Linked DNA regions of Ovis aries. The protein of the gene in region 4 purifies or fractionates together with the protein of the main gene of each other region. This does not show direct contact. Links are inferred from orthologs where the notes say so. Each region holds a gene or a part of one and is shown on either strand. Other genes may lie near its edges.

Evidence for each region. The genes of interacting proteins can lie anywhere in the genome.
Region 1: the proteins of PTPN14 (region 4) and PDLIM7 purify together in Homo sapiens (affinity purification with mass spectrometry; 3 studies listed by BioGRID and IntAct, counting the BioPlex papers as one, with this or other methods). This does not show direct contact. The link is inferred for Ovis aries from reciprocal best matches to the Homo sapiens genes PTPN14 and PDLIM7.
Region 2: the proteins of PTPN14 (region 4) and STXBP4 purify together in Homo sapiens (affinity purification with mass spectrometry; 3 studies listed by BioGRID and IntAct, counting the BioPlex papers as one, with this or other methods). This does not show direct contact. The link is inferred for Ovis aries from reciprocal best matches to the Homo sapiens genes PTPN14 and STXBP4.
Region 3: the proteins of PTPN14 (region 4) and WWC1 purify together in Homo sapiens (affinity purification with mass spectrometry; 7 studies listed by BioGRID and IntAct, counting the BioPlex papers as one, with this or other methods). This does not show direct contact. The link is inferred for Ovis aries from reciprocal best matches to the Homo sapiens genes PTPN14 and WWC1.
Region 5: the proteins of PTPN14 (region 4) and WWC2 purify together in Homo sapiens (affinity purification with mass spectrometry, with the first as the bait; 3 studies listed by BioGRID). This does not show direct contact. The link is inferred for Ovis aries from reciprocal best matches to the Homo sapiens genes PTPN14 and WWC2.

Annotation. Positions count from the first base shown.
Region 1 is NC_056058.1:36,694,815-36,698,314, forward strand, and holds part of PDLIM7 (PDZ and LIM domain protein 7), read right to left. Parts: intron 1,799-3,500; coding exon 1,647-1,798; intron 1,566-1,646; coding exon 1,535-1,565; intron 1,047-1,534; coding exon 928-1,046; intron 586-927; coding exon of another isoform or gene 569-585; intron 310-568; coding exon 173-309; intron 20-172; coding exon 1-19. UniProt on the Homo sapiens protein: May function as a scaffold on which the coordinated assembly of proteins can occur. May play a role as an adapter that, via its PDZ domain, localizes LIM-binding proteins to actin filaments of both skeletal muscle and nonmuscle tissues.
Region 2 is NC_056064.1:5,021,543-5,025,042, reverse strand, and holds part of STXBP4 (syntaxin-binding protein 4), read right to left. Parts: intron 2,658-3,500; coding exon 2,561-2,657; intron 318-2,560; coding exon 226-317; intron 1-225. UniProt on the Homo sapiens protein: Plays a role in the translocation of transport vesicles from the cytoplasm to the plasma membrane. Inhibits the translocation of SLC2A4 from intracellular vesicles to the plasma membrane by STX4A binding and preventing the interaction between STX4A and VAMP2.
Region 3 is NC_056058.1:78,063,658-78,067,003, reverse strand, and holds part of WWC1 (protein KIBRA), read right to left. Parts: intron 1,664-3,346; coding exon 1,430-1,663; intron 1-1,429. UniProt on the Homo sapiens protein: Regulator of the Hippo signaling pathway, also known as the Salvador-Warts-Hippo (SWH) pathway.
Region 4 is NC_056065.1:68,675,801-68,679,300, reverse strand, and holds part of PTPN14 (tyrosine-protein phosphatase non-receptor type 14), read right to left. Parts: intron 798-3,500; coding exon 669-797; intron 1-668. UniProt on the Homo sapiens protein: Protein tyrosine phosphatase which may play a role in the regulation of lymphangiogenesis, cell-cell adhesion, cell-matrix adhesion, cell migration, cell growth and also regulates TGF-beta gene expression, thereby modulating epithelial-mesenchymal transition.
Region 5 is NC_056079.1:13,335,216-13,338,715, reverse strand, and holds part of WWC2 (protein WWC2), read right to left. Parts: intron 3,343-3,500; coding exon 3,253-3,342; intron 2,146-3,252; coding exon 1,523-2,145; intron 1-1,522. UniProt on the Homo sapiens protein: Regulator of the Hippo signaling pathway, also known as the Salvador-Warts-Hippo (SWH) pathway.

The DNA.
Region 1 (3,500 bases), on a different chromosome or scaffold from region 4:
TCCTCATCCGGGTCTTGCACTGAGAGGGCAGAGGCAGGCATTGACCAAGAGCAGACAGAAGGCCACCCCAGCCCTGAGCCCTGGTAGAGGGTGCCGGAGCAGGCTCCAGCTAAGCCTGGGTCCAGGCTGGGGACCAGGAGCAGAGTCCGCCCTTCCCTGGGCTGGCACTTACTGAACTCGGTGCCCGTGAGGTGGGCAAGGATGCGGAAGGAACGGGACTGGCCTGTCCCAGGCCTCGGCCGCCAGTCCTCCGTGTCCTCCATCAGCCGCTGCTTGCTGGCATCTGGCACCAGCGGTCGGAGCGGCTGTCTGTGGGGAGGGTGTGGCTCAGAACCTCATGCTGGGGTGGGCAGCAGGGGCGGCCCCTCCCCGGACTTGATATAGGTGGGCTAAAGTGAGGGGAAGAGGGCAGGGCAAGGCCAGGGCCCTGCTGGGTGAGGGGTGGGGTAGGGAAGTGAGAGGGGAGGAGGGCAACCAAGGTGAAAGGAGGGCAGCCAGAGTGGGGAGGGGCCACCACCCAGAGTGCCAAAAGGAAGGAAGAGAGGACAGGCAGAGGGGGCTCACTGACTTGTCAGGGGTCTGCACCTGTGAAGGAAATAAGACAGATGGACAGATAAAGGTACAAAGAGATAGACAAGGGGAGGAAGAAAGATGGCAAGGGGTCAGAATAGCCAGGGGGAAGGCTGCACTGAGTGTCTGGGCTCAGTCGGCCAACATCAAATCCCAACCCCAGGCTACCACCGAGGAGGTGGCGGCACGAGCCACACCCTCGGTGGGGCCCTGTGCCTGCAGTACCCGCCCCAGCCACCAGGGGTCGCTGTCGCACGGTTCCGGCCAGGCTGGGGCGCAGCACAGGCAGAGCAGCAGCGGGCAGCCGGCGGGCGTGCGGTGGTGGAGACACGGCGTGGACGGGCAGGACAGACGTACCCATTCTGCTGCGGGGCGCTGTCTGCGGGCGGGTTCGCCCCGAAGGGTCGGGCCGTCTTGTTGAGGGAGGCGCTGGGTGCAAAGGTGTACCGCGGGGGGTCCGCGGCAGGGGCCAGGGCCTGGGCAGAGACAGAGCGGGGAGGGCGGGCAGGGCGGGAGGAGGCGGGGGCTCTGGCCAGAGGGGGGCGTCCCCTGGCACGAAGGGGCCAGCGGTGCTCCAGCCCTACCCCCACACATCTGGCCTGAGGCTCCGGGGAGGGGGCGACTCAGGTTTCAAGGGGCCCATTTGGGAGCAATGATCTCAGCCCACGCAGTCCGAGGGCGGGTGGGCTGGTGCAGCTTGCAGCACAGGCCGGCGGGAGAGAGGGAAGGAGGCAGGCAGACAGACGGATGGACGGACGGACCGACAGGCAGACATGCATGGTGCTCTGACCGTGCGGCAGTCCCTGGCCCAACTCCCAGTTCCCAGACTCCCCAGCTCTGGCGTCCACCCTCTACTCCCGGCCAGGGATGGGAGAGTACCAAGGCTGCACCAGGGAGGGCAGGTGAGCCTCGATGTCCAGTCCCACCCCGCCTGCTGCCCACATATCCCAAGCCCATCCCCTACCTTCTGCGGTTTGCTCTGAGCAGGCTGAGCCCTAGAAGAGAAGGGGAAGTGGTGATAATGGACCACGCCCAAGGGCACGCCCACCTGCCAGGGCGGCTCAGCTCAGGCTTACCTGCTGAGGCTGAGGCTAAGGCGCTCACCGCAGGCACGGATCTTGTTCTGGGCTTCGATGTGTGTGAGGCCCCCCGCGTTCTCACCATCAATACTCAGCACCCAGTCACCCACGGCCACGCCAGCCTGTGCAGCTTTACCTCCAGGGGTGAGCTATGGAGAGATGGAGGGTCATGGAGGGCCACGACTGCAGACCAAACTCAGGCAAACAGCAGCCAACCCTGCCCTTCCTCAGCTGCCCCACTCGCAGAACCCAGGGGTCTCTTCCTTCAATGTGTTTCTGGACTACTGTCGAATACTGAAGCCATCTGGGAGGGGGTGGGGCTCCCTTGAGCTTCACCATCACCTCAAACACGCTGCTTACACATTCATTCACCTCCAGGGACCCTCCTCACGGTTCAGAAGCTGCTGACATCAACACGCAGCCACCTTCTGGCTAAAACACAAGTGTCTCAGCTCCAACCAAAGCTTTTGAGGTCCCTGCTGGCCTCTTGCCCAGGCCATTCCACCCACCAGACCTGCCCTCTGGCTGTGCATGTGGGCATGAAGCGTGCATGTGTGCTTGTGGTATATGCGTGAGCTGAAACCATGAAGATGACTTCTGCGAAGTGGTGGGCTTTGGCGAAAACAGAGTGGAATGGGCTGCCTAGGGCGTGAGAAGATCCAATTACTTATGAAGACCTCAAGTGCTGAAAGAAGTGTTCTCAAGGTTAGGAAGCACCAGTTTTACGGCCCAGGGTCAGGTATTTCTCAGGGTCTTGATACAGGTGACTCTGAAGAACCCAACTGGGCCCTCCCAGCCCTCTGGCCTAGCGGCAGCAACACAGGCAGAACCAGCACTGCTGTTCACAAGTTTAAGCCCACAGGTCTGCCTGGCTACCTGGCAACGGGCTTGGCCTTGAGCCGGCTTGCGGGGAAGTACTGGGAGGTAGAATCACACTTCACAAGTTGGGGAGGTTTGCAGAGTACAGGCTGCCTGTGACCCCATAAGGCTCCTCAGGTGAGCTGATGCTCAGAAGGAATTCAGGCAGGAAGAGGAGGTAAGAGGTTGCAGAGAGGTGGCAGAGGGATCAGACCCAGAGACTGATGGCACTAGGGCAAGAAGGGAAAGCTCGGTTTGATGGCTCTACCTCATGCTTCAGAAGTTAGAAGGGCAAGATAGCTGGGTGGCCCTTTCTTTACTTGCTAAGTACTAACAGCAGTTTACATTTATCGAGTACCTAGTATTACCACATACTGAATCCTCCAAAAACCCTGTGGAGGAGAGTCTGGGAATATACCTATTTTATACATGGGAAAAAGAGAGGTTAAGTAACTTGCTTCTAGTTGCCTAGCTAGCAGCTCAAGAGGCAGGCTCAGGCTCCACCCTATTAGGCCACCTCTGTTGCGAAAAGTAAAGTGAAAGTGTTAGTCCCTCAGTTGTGTCTGACTCTTGTTAACCCATGGACTGTAGCTCCTCTGTCCATGAAATTCTGCAGGCAAGAATATTGGAGTGGGTTGTCATTTCCTTCTCCAGGGGGTCTTCCCAACCCAGAGATCAAACCCAGGTATCCTGCATTGCAGGAGGATTCTTTACCATCTGAGCCTCCAGGGAATTGAGAGCTGGGGCTCAGAGGTCAGCCCTCTGAATGGAAAGATTCTCTGACCCTCAAGCTGGCTTTGGGGCTTGGATCCCCTATCTTACCTCTAGTTCAATCCAACCCCTTATAATAGGCATGGGGGAGTGATGCCCTTGAGGGGAAGTGACTTACTCAAGGTCACAGTGAGTCAGTAGAAGGGAAACCTGGTCTGGCCACTCCCTACCCACATGGCTGGCTCCGGGGAAGTGTGGGCTAGCCCACGGAGGTGGGAGTCT
Region 2 (3,500 bases), on a different chromosome or scaffold from region 4:
GGTCTCCTGCATTGCAGGAGGATTCTTTACTGTCTGAGTCACCAGGGAAGCCCAAGAATACTGGAGTGGGTAGCCTATCCCTTCTCAAGGGGATGTTCCCAACCTAGGAATCGAACTTGGGTCTCCTGCATTACAGGCGGATTCTTTACCAGCTGAGCTAACAGGGAAGCCCATTTAAGACATGACTTAAGTGCAATTAAGACACCTCTATAGGGCATACTCTACCTGTGAATTTAATATGCTGGAAATTTCATGTGCACCAACATTGGCTTCATCCAATTGCAAGCAAAACAAGTTTCTGGCAGTGTGGACAAAATCTAAAACAGAACACATTTCAGTAAGAATACAGTACTTAACCTTATCTAAGTCAACTTTACCTTTCTCTACATGAAGTTAAAGCTATGTGTTATAATAACAGTTAAAATTTAACTTACTTAAATAGGCTTAACAATAATAACAATAGTAGTAGAAGTAATAATAATAATAGCAGTGAATGTTTCCATAACTGCCTCAAATGCTAGGAATGGCACTTTGTAATTTCATCTCCAGAATTTTCTGAGATAGGTCCTCTAATCCTCTCCATTTTACAATTTGGGGCTAAGATAAGTTAACTTGGCAAATAAGTAGCAAAGCAAGATTCCATTTAAGGTCTGACTGAAAGTCATATGCTCTTGATTGTTATATAACACTGCCTAATGCCCACCTAGCAAACTATAGGTTTCCTGAGACATGGAGTGTGACATGTTCATCTATCTTCAATTTTTTTTTAAAATTTGGCTATTATATATTTAGTTTCCAATGATCTTTTTAACTGCTCCTATTTTATAATATCCTTCTCTTATTTCATGGACAGCTTAGTTTTTTTTTTTTTTTTTATCATTTCTAATATATGGTTTACCTGAAGTTCTCTTTGCTCTTGGAATATTCCTTTTCTGAGTTCCTCTTTTTCTATTTATCTGACACTTTGGGGCTTTACATTTATGTTGAAGGATTTCTCCAAATGTCTGATAACTCCTGGTTTTAAGTTCACATTCAAGAAAAATTAGGCACTAAATCATTGATTGGAAATTTTGCGTGCCTAACTCTCTTTGTCAACTAGTGGGTTTCATTACAGAGCAATCAGGTAGCCAACTATTTTGAGGTCTTGTTCAGTTTCTTTGGAGAAACTCCTACAACTGCTTACCCATAAAGTATAAATATGGTTGCAAATATCACTGAGCAATCTGAGTGTGTGTTGTGAGTGATAATTCACCATACATACCCCTAAATTCCCTAGCTGCTGGCAACTATAGGTCTGGAATCAATCTGGTGTAATTTCTAAAGAGGATAGACTTATTTTCCTCTGCAAGGATAAGGGAGTGGTAGTTGCTGGATTGCTTGAGAGAGGGCAGGGAAAAGCATACCTAATTGCTCCTTACACAGATTCCTAACAACTCTGTTCTAAATGCCCTGCCTACACCCAGCCTTAAGTACCTGATGCTCTCAATTTCTAAACCTTTCCAGGAATTGGCTTGCTCTCTGCTGTGATTCTCCTATCTTTTCAAACTCTTGGGCTTTATATGCCTCTGCTCACTAATTCATTTACTGTTCTCATTTACTTTCTGTCCTTATTCACTGTGGTCATACATGTATTTCTATTTCTTGTTCTCATTATTTTGTGATGATTTTCAAAAGGAGAGGGGATCAAATGTATCTTTTTTATCACTTCAAAACCCCAAATTTCTTTCTTTAGCAATACTGAGGCTTTTAGAATGATACAATGTTGCATCTACTCTATAAAAAAAAATTAAATTCTTAATGTTATCAAGGATACAAAAACCAGTTACATTCAAACATTACTAGTAGCAGAGCAAATATGTGTGTAAACTGTCTCTGAAAAACAATTCATTAGTACATTTGAAAAGTCTAGGCCACTTGTGGGAATTTATCCTAAGAGAAAGAAGAAAAAAGCTATATTAAACATAGAATTATTTATATTATCAGTTAATGAAAAAACATCAAAATTTCCAATAGTGCAAAGTTTAAGATATTAATAATTATATCATATTGGTTGAAAACATTTATGCAACAAATTAAAAACAGAACATAACATGATAGAATAAAATTTTAAAGCTGAAGGATTCTAAGAAAGTTCTCCTTTCTGCTGACTCAGTTAGGCCGATAATTCTGAGTGTTTAGAATACTGTTTAAGGCGTTACGTACATGTTCAGTCACTTCAGTTGTGTCTGACTCTTTGTGACCCCATGGACTGTATATAGCTCTCCAGGCTTCTCTGTCTATGAGATTCTCTAGGCAAGAATACTGGAGTGGGTTGCCAGGCCCTCCTCCAGGGGATCTTCTGACCCAAAGATCAAACCCACGTCTCCTGATTTGCGGGTGGATTATTTACCGCTGAGCCACCAACAAAGTCCCACCATTTAAGGAACTTGACATATTAATAGATGTGGCTTTTGTTTTTCTTTCTTTCCTGCTAAAGAAGAGGCACTCTTAATAAATGTGGGCCACAACAACTCTTCGACCAAGTTTCTGTGATGATGCAACATGATGAACCTAACGTTACCTCCAAAAGACACCATCCCCTTTGGGTCTACTTGCATTTTCTCTCTCAGGGCTTGGTGTTGTTCTTTTGTGGGCTGAATTCCAAGATAATTTAGAGCCTGGAATGGAAATAATGTATGTGAAGTAATTTTTCTAATCTCCAAAGAATAAAACTTCATTACACATTATTTTACAACCCAGTGAAAAGAATCATATCAGGAACAGTGACCATGATCAAAAAAAGTCTAATAACTATTTATGGATTAATTTTCCATAAAAAACTAGCTTCTTGATCTTTCACCACCTCATTTTTCCCCCCGAGGAAAGTTATCACTCTAGTGAGTGTCAAATTTATAAGCATATCCCTAGAACCAAATTCAAACTATTTCTTAGTTTTTAAAAATCTGTGACAAGGAAGAAGAAAAATGCAAGGAAATCCTAATAAATCTGACAGTGTCGACTTTTGTTTGATATCTTGTACTTGAGACCAAAACTAAGGTTGCCAAGAATTGGGTCGAATACAAAATATTCTAATTTTTGGTTTGTTTATGGGCAAGCTTACACAGATAATAAACTAAAAAGCATTCTCTGGAACCCACTTCTCTCTACTGGTCTGTTTTTAGTACCCATCAGTTCAGTTCAGTTCAGTTCAGTCGCTCAGCTGTGTCCGACTCTTTGCGACCCCATGAATCGCAGCACACCAGGCCTCCCTGTCCATCACCAACTCCAGGAGTTCACTCAGACTCACGTCCATCGAGTCTTTGATGCCATCCAGCCATCTCATCCTCTGTCGTCCTCTTCTTCTCCTGCCCCCAATCCCTCCCAGCATCAGAGTCTTTCCCAAGGAGTCAACTCTTTGCATGACGTGGACAAAGTACTGGAGTTTCAGCTTTAGCATCATTCCTTCCAAAAGAAATCCCAGGGCTGATTTCCTTCAGAATGGACTGGTTGGATCTCCTTGC
Region 3 (3,346 bases), on a different chromosome or scaffold from region 4:
TTATTATAACTCTGATATAATAAACAAGAAAGAAATAAATGTTTGGGGAACTTCTGATTTACTAGAGTCAATTTGAGGCTCCCACAAGTCCAGACCTAGGAAGCCCAGCACCACCTCCTGCTTTATGTTATCACCTTAATTGAGAGTCGGAATTTTAGCTAATGGCCCTCCCAACAATCCAGTGAGGCACCCTCTGGAAGGCGCTCTTGTATTGCTTGGCTGTGTGCAGAGAAAACTAGCAAAAGCTTGTCATTTCTGCCATGGACAGCCATCCTGGCAGGTATGAAAGGAATGAGGCAGAGATGGCCTCTGTGTGTTAACCCTATGGTGTTTTATTTCTTCACCACAGTCTGGGATCTGTTAGCTAAGAGCCCACTGGTGTCAAAGACAAATTTTTACCCATCCAATTGTTTTAAATGAAGCTCAAATAGCAGTTTGGTTTTTCTTTTTTTTTTTTTTTTAGACTTTTAGAGCCTGCCTGTTACCTATACCCCCTAAAAGTGCACCCAACATCTGCTAGTCTAGATGTGCTAAACCCCAGGACTATAAAAGACTCCAAACTCTTGCTGCTTTGTTCTCCAACCCAAGACTTCTCATGGTGCTCCAAGTCACATCATCTCCAAGTCTAGGTCCCCTCTCCAGCTCCCTTTTCCCCTGGGAGTTCGCCTGGTCTCCTCCTCTCTAGGTCAGTCAGTTCAGTTGCTCGGTCGTGTCCGACTCTTTGCGACCCCATGAATCACAGCACGACAGGCCTCCCTGTCCATCACCAACTCCTGGAGTCCCCTCTAGGCAGTGGAGCCAAAACAGCTGCCTCTGGAGGCTGGGGGTGGGGGCGTCTCATGCAGTGTGAGACCTTCCCAAATACACACCTGTGAAAGCAGCAGCCACCCAAATTCAACTCATCGTATGCTCTGGCCCCTTTGTGGTTGTATCTTTTTTCTTGAGCAACGCTGAGATCTCCCCAGCTCACTACGCTACGGATGAGACGCCAGGAGGCTTGTATCCTCAGGCGTCTTCATCAGGATAAAACCCGGCCAGGACCCACTCCTCTCCCCTTTGGAGAAACGTGCTCTGTGGGACTGGGTAGGCAGGCACGAGGGCAAGTCAGCGTTTTTATTTCCTCTGTGCAAGTGTGTGCCCCAGCGTAGATAAAGTGCCCCCCAGTATGCCTGATGAAGGACCAGCTGCTGGAATAAACGTGCGAGTAATAAGGGCTTGCACACATAGACGGGAATGCAGCAAAAGAACCTGGCAGCAGTAAACAGTGAATCAAGCTTCCTGGGGGAGGGATTGCTGGCTTCCTTTGCTGATGAGCTTGAGGGGCTCTGGGAGCACTCTCAGTGAGTCACAGAACTGCAGGACCCGTTCAGGGCCCTCGCCGCCCTCCCTTGCAGCGGCGCGCCCTGTGTTCCCGCGGTTCGCCACCCACCCGCTTCTCCAGCATCCTCAGCAGCAGGCGGAAGCGCTCGTCCTCCCGCACCCACTGCGGCAGCTCCTTCTCCCCGTGGCTCTTGGCTTGTTCCAGCTGCTCCTTGAGCTCCTTCAGCACCGAGATCTCCTGAGTCAGCTGGCTGTGCCAGGTCCTGGTGGCCTGCAGGTCCAATTCGAGGTCCAGCGAGGTGCGTGGCAGGCGCTCAGCGCGCAGGGATTTAACGGACGAAGGCTGCGGGGGTGGGGATGGTTTGGACCGGTTAGTACAAGGCCGGGTCCACTGACTCTGTGCTCTCCCCTGCTCTGGAGGTCAGCTTATCCTCCTTCATTCATCAGAGGGCTTCCATTCCAAAAGTGAGGCTCGCCCAACCCCTGGGAGCCTGTTTTGATTTTTTCCAGGTCTACCCCTCATATTAGTGAGCATTTTTATATCCCAGGCATGGTGCTGGGTGCTTTACTTCCATTACCTGAGTTCATTTTCACAACCCTATGAGGTCCTGACTGTTATCATGTGCACAGATGAGGCTCCCAGAGGTTAAATCACACACGTTATAAGCAGTGAAGCTGAGATTCCACCCCAAGCAGCTGGCTCCAGATCCCACCCATGCACTCCCTACACGCAGTTGCTTCCCTTACTCTCACTGGCTTCCATCTACTGCCTGAGCTCTGCCTCTTTCTGCGTCAACATATCCAGACAGGTTTCTGAGACTGGACATGGGCCAGAGCAAAGGAAATAGCAACCGACTCCAGTATTCTTGCCTGGAGAATCCCATGGACAGAGGAGCCTGGCGGGCTACAGTCCACAGGGTCATGAAGAGCAGGACATGACTGATGATAGTACAGGGGCAGCAGAGCTAAGCAAAAGCATCTTCAGGTGAGACCTGGAGTCACTGAGATCACTCAGCTGGATCTCCCCGCCTTGCTCATTTATAAGCACAGACTAGACAATGGTCACCCTAGAAAAGCACAGAACCACTCCATTGAGTGGTTTCCTGTTCCTAAAAGCATGCTGGCCAGCCTGAAGTGAGGACAGGTCTCATAGTTAATGTCTTATGTATTAATACCATTTAAAAAATCACTTTATTGGGCGTTGGATTGGTTTTCTGTTACTGCATAACAAATTATACAAACTAGCAGCTGAATGTAATGCAAACTCACTATCCCACATTTTCAGTAGGTAGGAGTTTAGACAGACACAGGTTGGCTGAATCCTCTGCTCAGGGTCTTATGAGGCTGAAATCTAGGTTCTGACTGAGTGCATCCCTATCCGGGGGTTTGACGAAGGGATGATTTGCAGCCAGGCTCCCTCAGGTCCTGGGTAGAATTCATTTCCTTGCATTTTCTCACTCAGCCGCTGACCAGGGGCTGCTCACAGCTACTAGAGGTCCTCTCAGGCCCTTGCCTGGTGGCCCTCTCCACAACATGCATTGCTCAGGCAGCTAGTGGAGGAAGGTCTGCAGTGTGCACGGGTCTTGGCCCAGCCTCTGGACACCCCTGTGCCTCAGGACATAGAAAGGCCCTGAAGGGAACATGGGCTCAGACTAGCTATCAGGGGTCCCCTTTGCAAGGCATCCCCTTGGCTGAGCAGAAGAGGAAGTGAAGAAGCAGGAACTTCTGTGGGGCTTGCCTTGCGGCGGGGGGGGAGGGGATGTGTGTGTGTTGGTGGTGGGGTTGTAAGACATGCAGGGGGTACTGAGTAGGAGCTCCTCGGTGTCATTTCTCCAGGAGTGGATCACGGAACACCTGCTCCAGAATTCTGAAGAGGAGCCTATAAAAATGCTGCTTCCAGGGCCACACCACAGCTGCCTGGATGAGGTGGCCTGGGAGTGCGGCCTGGGATTCTGCATCATCAACAAGCTCCCAAGGTGACTCGGTGCCCCAGGGACTGGAGTGCCAGCCAGCCACAGCAGACGGG
Region 4 (3,500 bases):
TTAGACTGTGACAAGAGCCGAAATACAAAACATCTTTCCCCAAAGACAAGAGGCTCTGAGTGAATTGCTAAATGGACTGGGGGTATACGCCAGTTTTGGCAACACCACGTAGACTTCTTCAGTTACAATGGAAAAACTATGTTTGACTTGGCAAAGGAAGAAACAGATTTTTTTTTTTCTCTCTCCCCAAAGAATAGAGGCCTCCTCTACAGAAATAACAACTTCTGGTCTCTTTCTAGCTGATAAACAGGAGAGCCTATGAGCTGCCATGCCCAGGGTTTGGGAATATACGCCGAGTTACTCGGAGATCCCCCAAAGTTCTCAGACTCCAATAAAAAGACCATTGCTTTGTTTGACACAACAAAAGTGAGCTGGCTGGACTGAAGTCTGGTTGTTTTTTGTTTGCTTGTTTAATCGTAGTACATGGTGATTCAAGAAAAACAGTTAAAAGCTGGATCAAAATGGGACATAACAATAAATTGATCTTTGGAAAACAAAACAAACCTATATGGAAATAAGGAGAGAAAAGAGAGGCACGTCAGAGAGAAAAGGATTGGCAGAGAAAAGATGCCAGAAGGGGGACAGGGCAGTGGGGTCGCCAACACAAAGCTCATCTTCCAACCGCTCCCTTCCCCGGGGACAGATGGCGGGGTGCCCCTGCCACTTACCTCCTCTGCGGTGACCATGGCGATCACGTTGGCTCCCTGCTCCCACACCATCTGCCAGAAGTCATGGCATGTGTGTGGCAGGGGCCCCTGAGTGGCGATGTAGTGCCATTCTGCCCCACCGACCACCACCTGGAAGCCAAGGGAAGCATCAGTGAATGAACCCCAAATCCAGGACAGAATTCCATGCTGACCACAGGTCCTTTTGCAGCCACCTGAAAACCTTGGATAACATTTTTAGGTCCAATGTGTTAGTGCCATTATCAACAGTCCTGAGACCAGGAGTGGCTAGCGACACAGCCTCACATGAAAACATTATGCCACTCAAGCTTATCAAAATATATCTCATGGGTTTTGGTCTTCAACTCACAGTAATTATGTATAAATCAGTGCATATTAAACATACACACACACACATGTATAATATTATATGAATATATATGTGCGTAATTTAACAATTTTTACAGACATAATAGTTATGTTTCCAATATGCAATGCATTAATAATTGCCATTCTTTTCCTTTTTTATATTCTATCCATTAAAAAAACAAAACAAGCAAAAAAACAAAACAAAACTCCACAAGCTCTCCCTTACTAAATTGGTTTTATACCCCACTGCTATATTGAGAAACAGTACTTTGTGGCATCCTTTTAAATAATAGAAAAGTCAACCATGGAATAACACCCCTTTGGAATAACAATGTCCTTCTGCCAGTGCCCTGATGGGAAGAGTGTCCTAAACGTCTCTTGTACCCACTGCTCTGTACCACATACAGTAAAGGTGTTATGAATGCACAGAAGCCAGCAGTACATGATATTTCATCACTACCTTCCCCTTGTGCAGTATCATAGCATCCAACTGAACTCTGGAATCCTGACATGATTTTGGATAATAAAAACATTACCCTACACAGTTCAGGGTGACCTTCGTGAGAAATGGAGTATTTCCTGCCATATCAGTAAACAAAGGATATCACAGTCACCACCAGCATGGATGGTGAGCTGGTGAGCCCTGAGGGGGCTCGGGAAGGAAAGAACACCTGCCCTCTAGCAGCCATCCGACTGCAGCCACTCCCCATGGTGAGCCTCCAGGGAGCTCAGGTGGTAAAAAGACCATACTGGCCCCAGATAGCTGAGGTGCATATCAAAGGAATGATTTCAGTGAGCCCAGACTCTTGCACCTTCCCATTCACAGAAAAGTGCTAAATTCCTTAACTTGGGTTATCTGGTTTTCTTTAATTAACAATAATCTCCTGATGTTCTGACTACCCTGCCCTTTGTTGCGAAACTTCTATATAACCTGGCTCCTCCCCTAGCCTCCAGGGAGCAATTCCCTCAGGTTTACTTGAGATGCTGTCTCCTAGGCTTTAAATTCTGAAAAATCCCCACCAAATAAAGCATAACTCTCAACTTTTAGGTTGTGAATATTTTTAAAGCCCACATTGGGAGGATAATTCTGCAGAGATAAATATCAGCAGTGGAGACTCATCAATAAAAAGGCGTGCCCCGAGTGTGGGAGGTGATGCTAGCAGGGGGAAATGGGCCTTTGGAGGGACTCTCTCTGGGTATCTCTTCATTCCTGTGCCTTGATATTGCCAAGTAAGGCTTCCTTACACATTCACCGGTGTGGATCTCAAGATAGCTTTAGGGGTAATGGAGTGATCACTGTTTGCAACTTTTTCTCTCATTTGTTTTATGAAACTATATACTAACTTGATTCAAACAAAAACCATGTCAGTTATTATCTCATTACACAAGACATGTTTAGGTCAAAGCTGGCAAGCAAAATCCATTTTCTGATTACTGGTGGGAGATGACACTTGTGTATTTGCTGGCTGGCTAGGAATTTGGCTTATCTGTGGAATCATGCTTTTAAACATTATCCTCTCTGGCACCCAACATATAGGAGCCATAAATACTTCCAGAGTATGCTGCTGCCTGGGGCCTTTCAGCATATTCCCAAGTATTGACAGGAGGGTATTAAAAGCTGCATTAAAAACCCAACCGCCAATGCTACTGAGGTGGGTTTCACAAATGTGATTTCACCTCTGGAGCAAACAAATCTCTGTTCTATGTTAACGGCTGCTTGGAATCCAGGGAGGAAACACTGGCAAGATATACAACTCCACTCCAAAAACACAAGGACAAGTTCTCACAGGCTCTCTGGGTCTATTAAACGCACCCATGTCTAACCCAGATCCACAAGATGAAATGTGGGCCTCGGAGAATATGGAGGAAGGCACGTTTCTGTTAACAACGCCCGACGGGCACAGCCCATGCAGACTGACAGCTTTTTCCAGAGAGTAGATGGAAAACAGGAGAGGCGATTTGGCCAAAAGAAGACAGCATATTACAGCTGTGGAAGATTTTCACAGATACTCTAGCAAGAAGCAGCTGTGCGATCCGCATCTCTGCTTGAGTCCATTTTTTCGGTCATTATTTCGTCATCTAAATTCAGCCCAGGAAACTCACCACTGTCAGTTTCCTGCAGAGTTTTATGGGGCTCAGTTTTTTTTTTAATTGTTTTTATTGTTTTAGTTTATTTATTGTTTTTTATTGTATTAGTATTGTTTTGAGAGTCTTCACTCTCAAAAATATGACTAAAATACACAATTATGATCCATGAGAGTTATGCCATTCTATTTCTTTGGACAGGACTTTCTGACAGTTAAAAAAAAAAAAAAAACACTCTATGATGACCTAAAGGAGTGGAATGAGAGGGTGGGAGGGTGGCTCACGAGGGAGGGGATATATGTACACATATGGCTGATTCACAGTGTTGCGCAACATTATAAAGCAAATTATATTCCAATAGAAAAATATGTGGTTACCTAT
Region 5 (3,500 bases), on a different chromosome or scaffold from region 4:
TGGTGAAGGTGATGACATGATTTATTGATTACCCCTAGGAATAACCACAGCAGCCTGACAGAGAGTGACTGCGGAAGGACTTCGGAGGTGTTCTTGATTTCCGCCATCCAGCAGGGACAGGATGAAATGCTCGGGAACTGGGGTCCTTCAGGCCCAGAGCACAGGAGAAAGGCACAATACCCACTCTTCTCTCTTCCCTCTCTCTTGCTTTATCTTCCCTTTGTAGATGTCAGTGGTTTGTGGTAGGAACTGGGTTTGGCAGAGTTTGCACTGCTCCGTGTCATAGGGGTGATATTAACTCCCATGAGCGGCACACTGAGGGCCAGGCATGGCTGATGCTCCTGATGCATTATGAGAGCATCAACCTTCCCAGCACCCCACGAAGTAGATACCGTGTTGCCCCCACCTTGCAGGTGAGGAGCTAATGAGCCTGAGAGATGGGGCAATGTGCTCGCTGGAACTGAGGAGCCCCTGAGATGTGAGTGCAGGTCGGGCGGGCTCTGGGGGGTGGCGGGCCCCAGTGCCACACACCGCACGCCTCCCTGGGGGCAGGTGCGAGGCCCTGCAGCAGGTCTCTGCTTTGCTGGAGCCATTCTGTAAACACTGCTTCGGTGCTCCTTTTCTTTGCGGCTGATTATTTCAGTCAACACGTCACTTGCAGCTTTGGCACCTGCCGGGCGAGCAGCACACGAACCACCCAGCATCTCTGTCTGCACCCCGGGCGCTGGAGTCTCTTTCTTATCGTGTTCGGGGCGGGCTCCTCAGACCACAGCTGTGACCACCTGCCAGCCAAGGTGCACGCCATCCCAGGATGTTTACAACCACATCCACTGTATTAAAAGCTCTGGCCTCGCAAAGGTGAGCAATTAAAGCGTAGGAGACTCCCCCTCTGTTTCTGCTTCTCTGAGCTCAGGCAGGAGTGGGAACTCAACCCCATGGCAACTAGCTCTACAGCCAGAAGGTGGCAGGGCGACACCGCAGGCTGGGACCGCTTTCTCCAAATTAACTCTCTGCGGAAAGGGAGAGTCTGGCATGAAACAGAAACTGTATTTATAGAGAATTCCCATAGCAATCTAAACATTGAACCTTGGTACTAATTAGCTGCTATGCTAATTGCCTTGGTTTGAATCTGTTTTAGGCCAACTTTGAAAAAAAAATAAAAAAAGTCCTCTTCCCCACCTCACTATTTCAGAAACAGCCCCTTATCTGGAAGCCTGAAGAATGTTCACAAAGTATGTCCCCAGGCAGCTCAGGACACTGCAGGGTTCCAGACGACAAAATGGACATTTAACGGTTAAATCTATTAAATACGGAAGGCGATTTATATTCGATGAGAAAAAAAAAAAACAACTGTGCGAGTTATAGCAATAAACGTTCTTTCCCAAATGAAGCCAAAATGAAAAAAGAGCAGCAGAAAGAGAAGGGGGACGTGTACCAATACTTGCTCCCACAGAAAAAGTAACCTCCCCTCATCCCTGAAGATGGTTTGGCGGGGGCAGCTTAGAGCGTGGTCTCTGTGTACCTGCGGGCCCCTCGTACAGTGGCTCCTGAGCACACTCGCCAAGCTCCTTGTTCTCGTCCAGCAGAGACGGGGGCGCTCCTCCCGGGTCAGGGTCCAGCAGCAGCTGATGCTCTCTGAGGCTGATGTCTGCAAAGTGACCGCTCAGCTCACAGTCCTCAAAGTCAGCAGAGAACTGGTGGAGGGGGCCGTCGTGGGGAGACATGGGGAATGCGCCTTCCAAGACCAACGGGGAGCCGGGCGGGGACAGGGAAGACAGGGAGGACCTCGAGGACAGGGACGTTACGGACTTGGGGGCCTCTGCCAGGGGGGTGGGGTGGCCTGGGGCTGCGGCCGCCGCCCCCCCGGGGCCGCTCTGGCCAGGCTGGCTGGGGGACTTGGCCACCTCGTGTTCGTGGATGGTGGTGATGGGGCCGGAAGGCATGTAGCCGCCTTTCTCCTGCAGGAGGAAGTCCAGTTTGTACTGATAATCCGCGTCCAGCTGGTCGCCCTGGCTGGTGTAGTAGAGCTCGCTGGAGCTGAGGGAGTTGAGCGACCCTCTGCTGGATGTGTTCAGGGACCCCCGGCTGGAGGCCAGGGAGCCCAGGCTGCTCCCAGAGGACACGGACAGCGTGCTGGCGGAGAGGCTGGGAGAGGAAGGCGTACAGTGAGAGCCTGGACGTGGGCTTCCCTGGCGGCTCAGTGGCAGAGACCCCGCATGCTGAGCAGCCGTGCAGCCTGTGCACCACAGCTGCTGAGCCTGGGAGCTGCAGCTACGGACGCCCGAGCACCCTGGAGCCTGTGCTCCTCGACAAGAGACGCCACTGCCACAAGCAGCCCAAGCACAGCAGCTAGAGGGGCCCCTGCTCGGCACAGCTGGAGAAAAGCCGGTTCAGCGACGGAAAACCAGCGCAGCCAAAATAAATAAGTAAGACCAAACAGAAACAAAGCAAGAAGCTGCGATGATGTGGATGGAAGCCCTTGCTGGCTCCTTTGGCAGAGAGGGAAGGAACCCAGTGATGTCAAAGATCAAGGTCAGCGACCAGGGAAAGGGCACCTGCAGCCACGCCACATGTTTCCATGCCCAGTCTCAAACATTTCCAACCCGGCTCTCAAAAGATTCTCTGAGGAGCAATCCTACCTTACCAAAAATCATCCTCCTTGTGTAAAAGTTTACAAAAAATTTAAAAAGGGATCAAACATCTACTGATAAATCTATCCGCATAAATATCCAGAAGCAACTGTGCAACTAAAGATATATAAAAGTGTGTGTGTGGAGGTAAACAGCATGAAGGGTTACTGCTGTGACTTTACTTAAAGAACGAAATCTTTTATTGTGAGAGAGGAAAAAGCCAGCTTCTAAAGACAAAGGCCGCTAGGCTCACTCCCCTTCTTCCTCTTTCTGTGTATATTTTGGAAGTGAATGTGTGGCTATTTTAGGGCAAATCTCCCTTTTTAAAAGAAGGGATGATGTGGAGAAATGTGTTATTTTCCTAAGTATGTCCTGGTCATTAAAATATATCTTCTTCCCAACACACTGCAAACAGCTTCCAAATAGGACCCTGGGGTTCATGAAAGCAAACAAACAAATCTCTCCAACTTTAAATCTGGTCATTCAGGTTTTAACCGTACTAGTGCAACTATTTTCTTACTTTTAAGTCATCAAAAATAAAGAGGAGGTAATTGAAGCAGAATTGCAACATGCCTGAAGGTAGCCAAGAAAAATTTTCCCTTCAGGAACAAAACAGACTTACTTTTTAAGTTGTGAATGCAAATATGTAGTTAATTTAGTAGTTTCTTCAAGTTTCTGTAGCAGCTCTTTCCTTCGCTCTTCCAATTTCAATCTAGACAAAAAAAAAAAAGGAGATAAATAAATTTATTTTCAACATAATGACGATAAGCATAGAAACTGAAGGGAGAATAAAAAGATTCTTATTATTTTCCCTTGTGAAATCCAAATGAACTCAACACAGAGAAAACAGAACCACCCATCAGAAGGAAA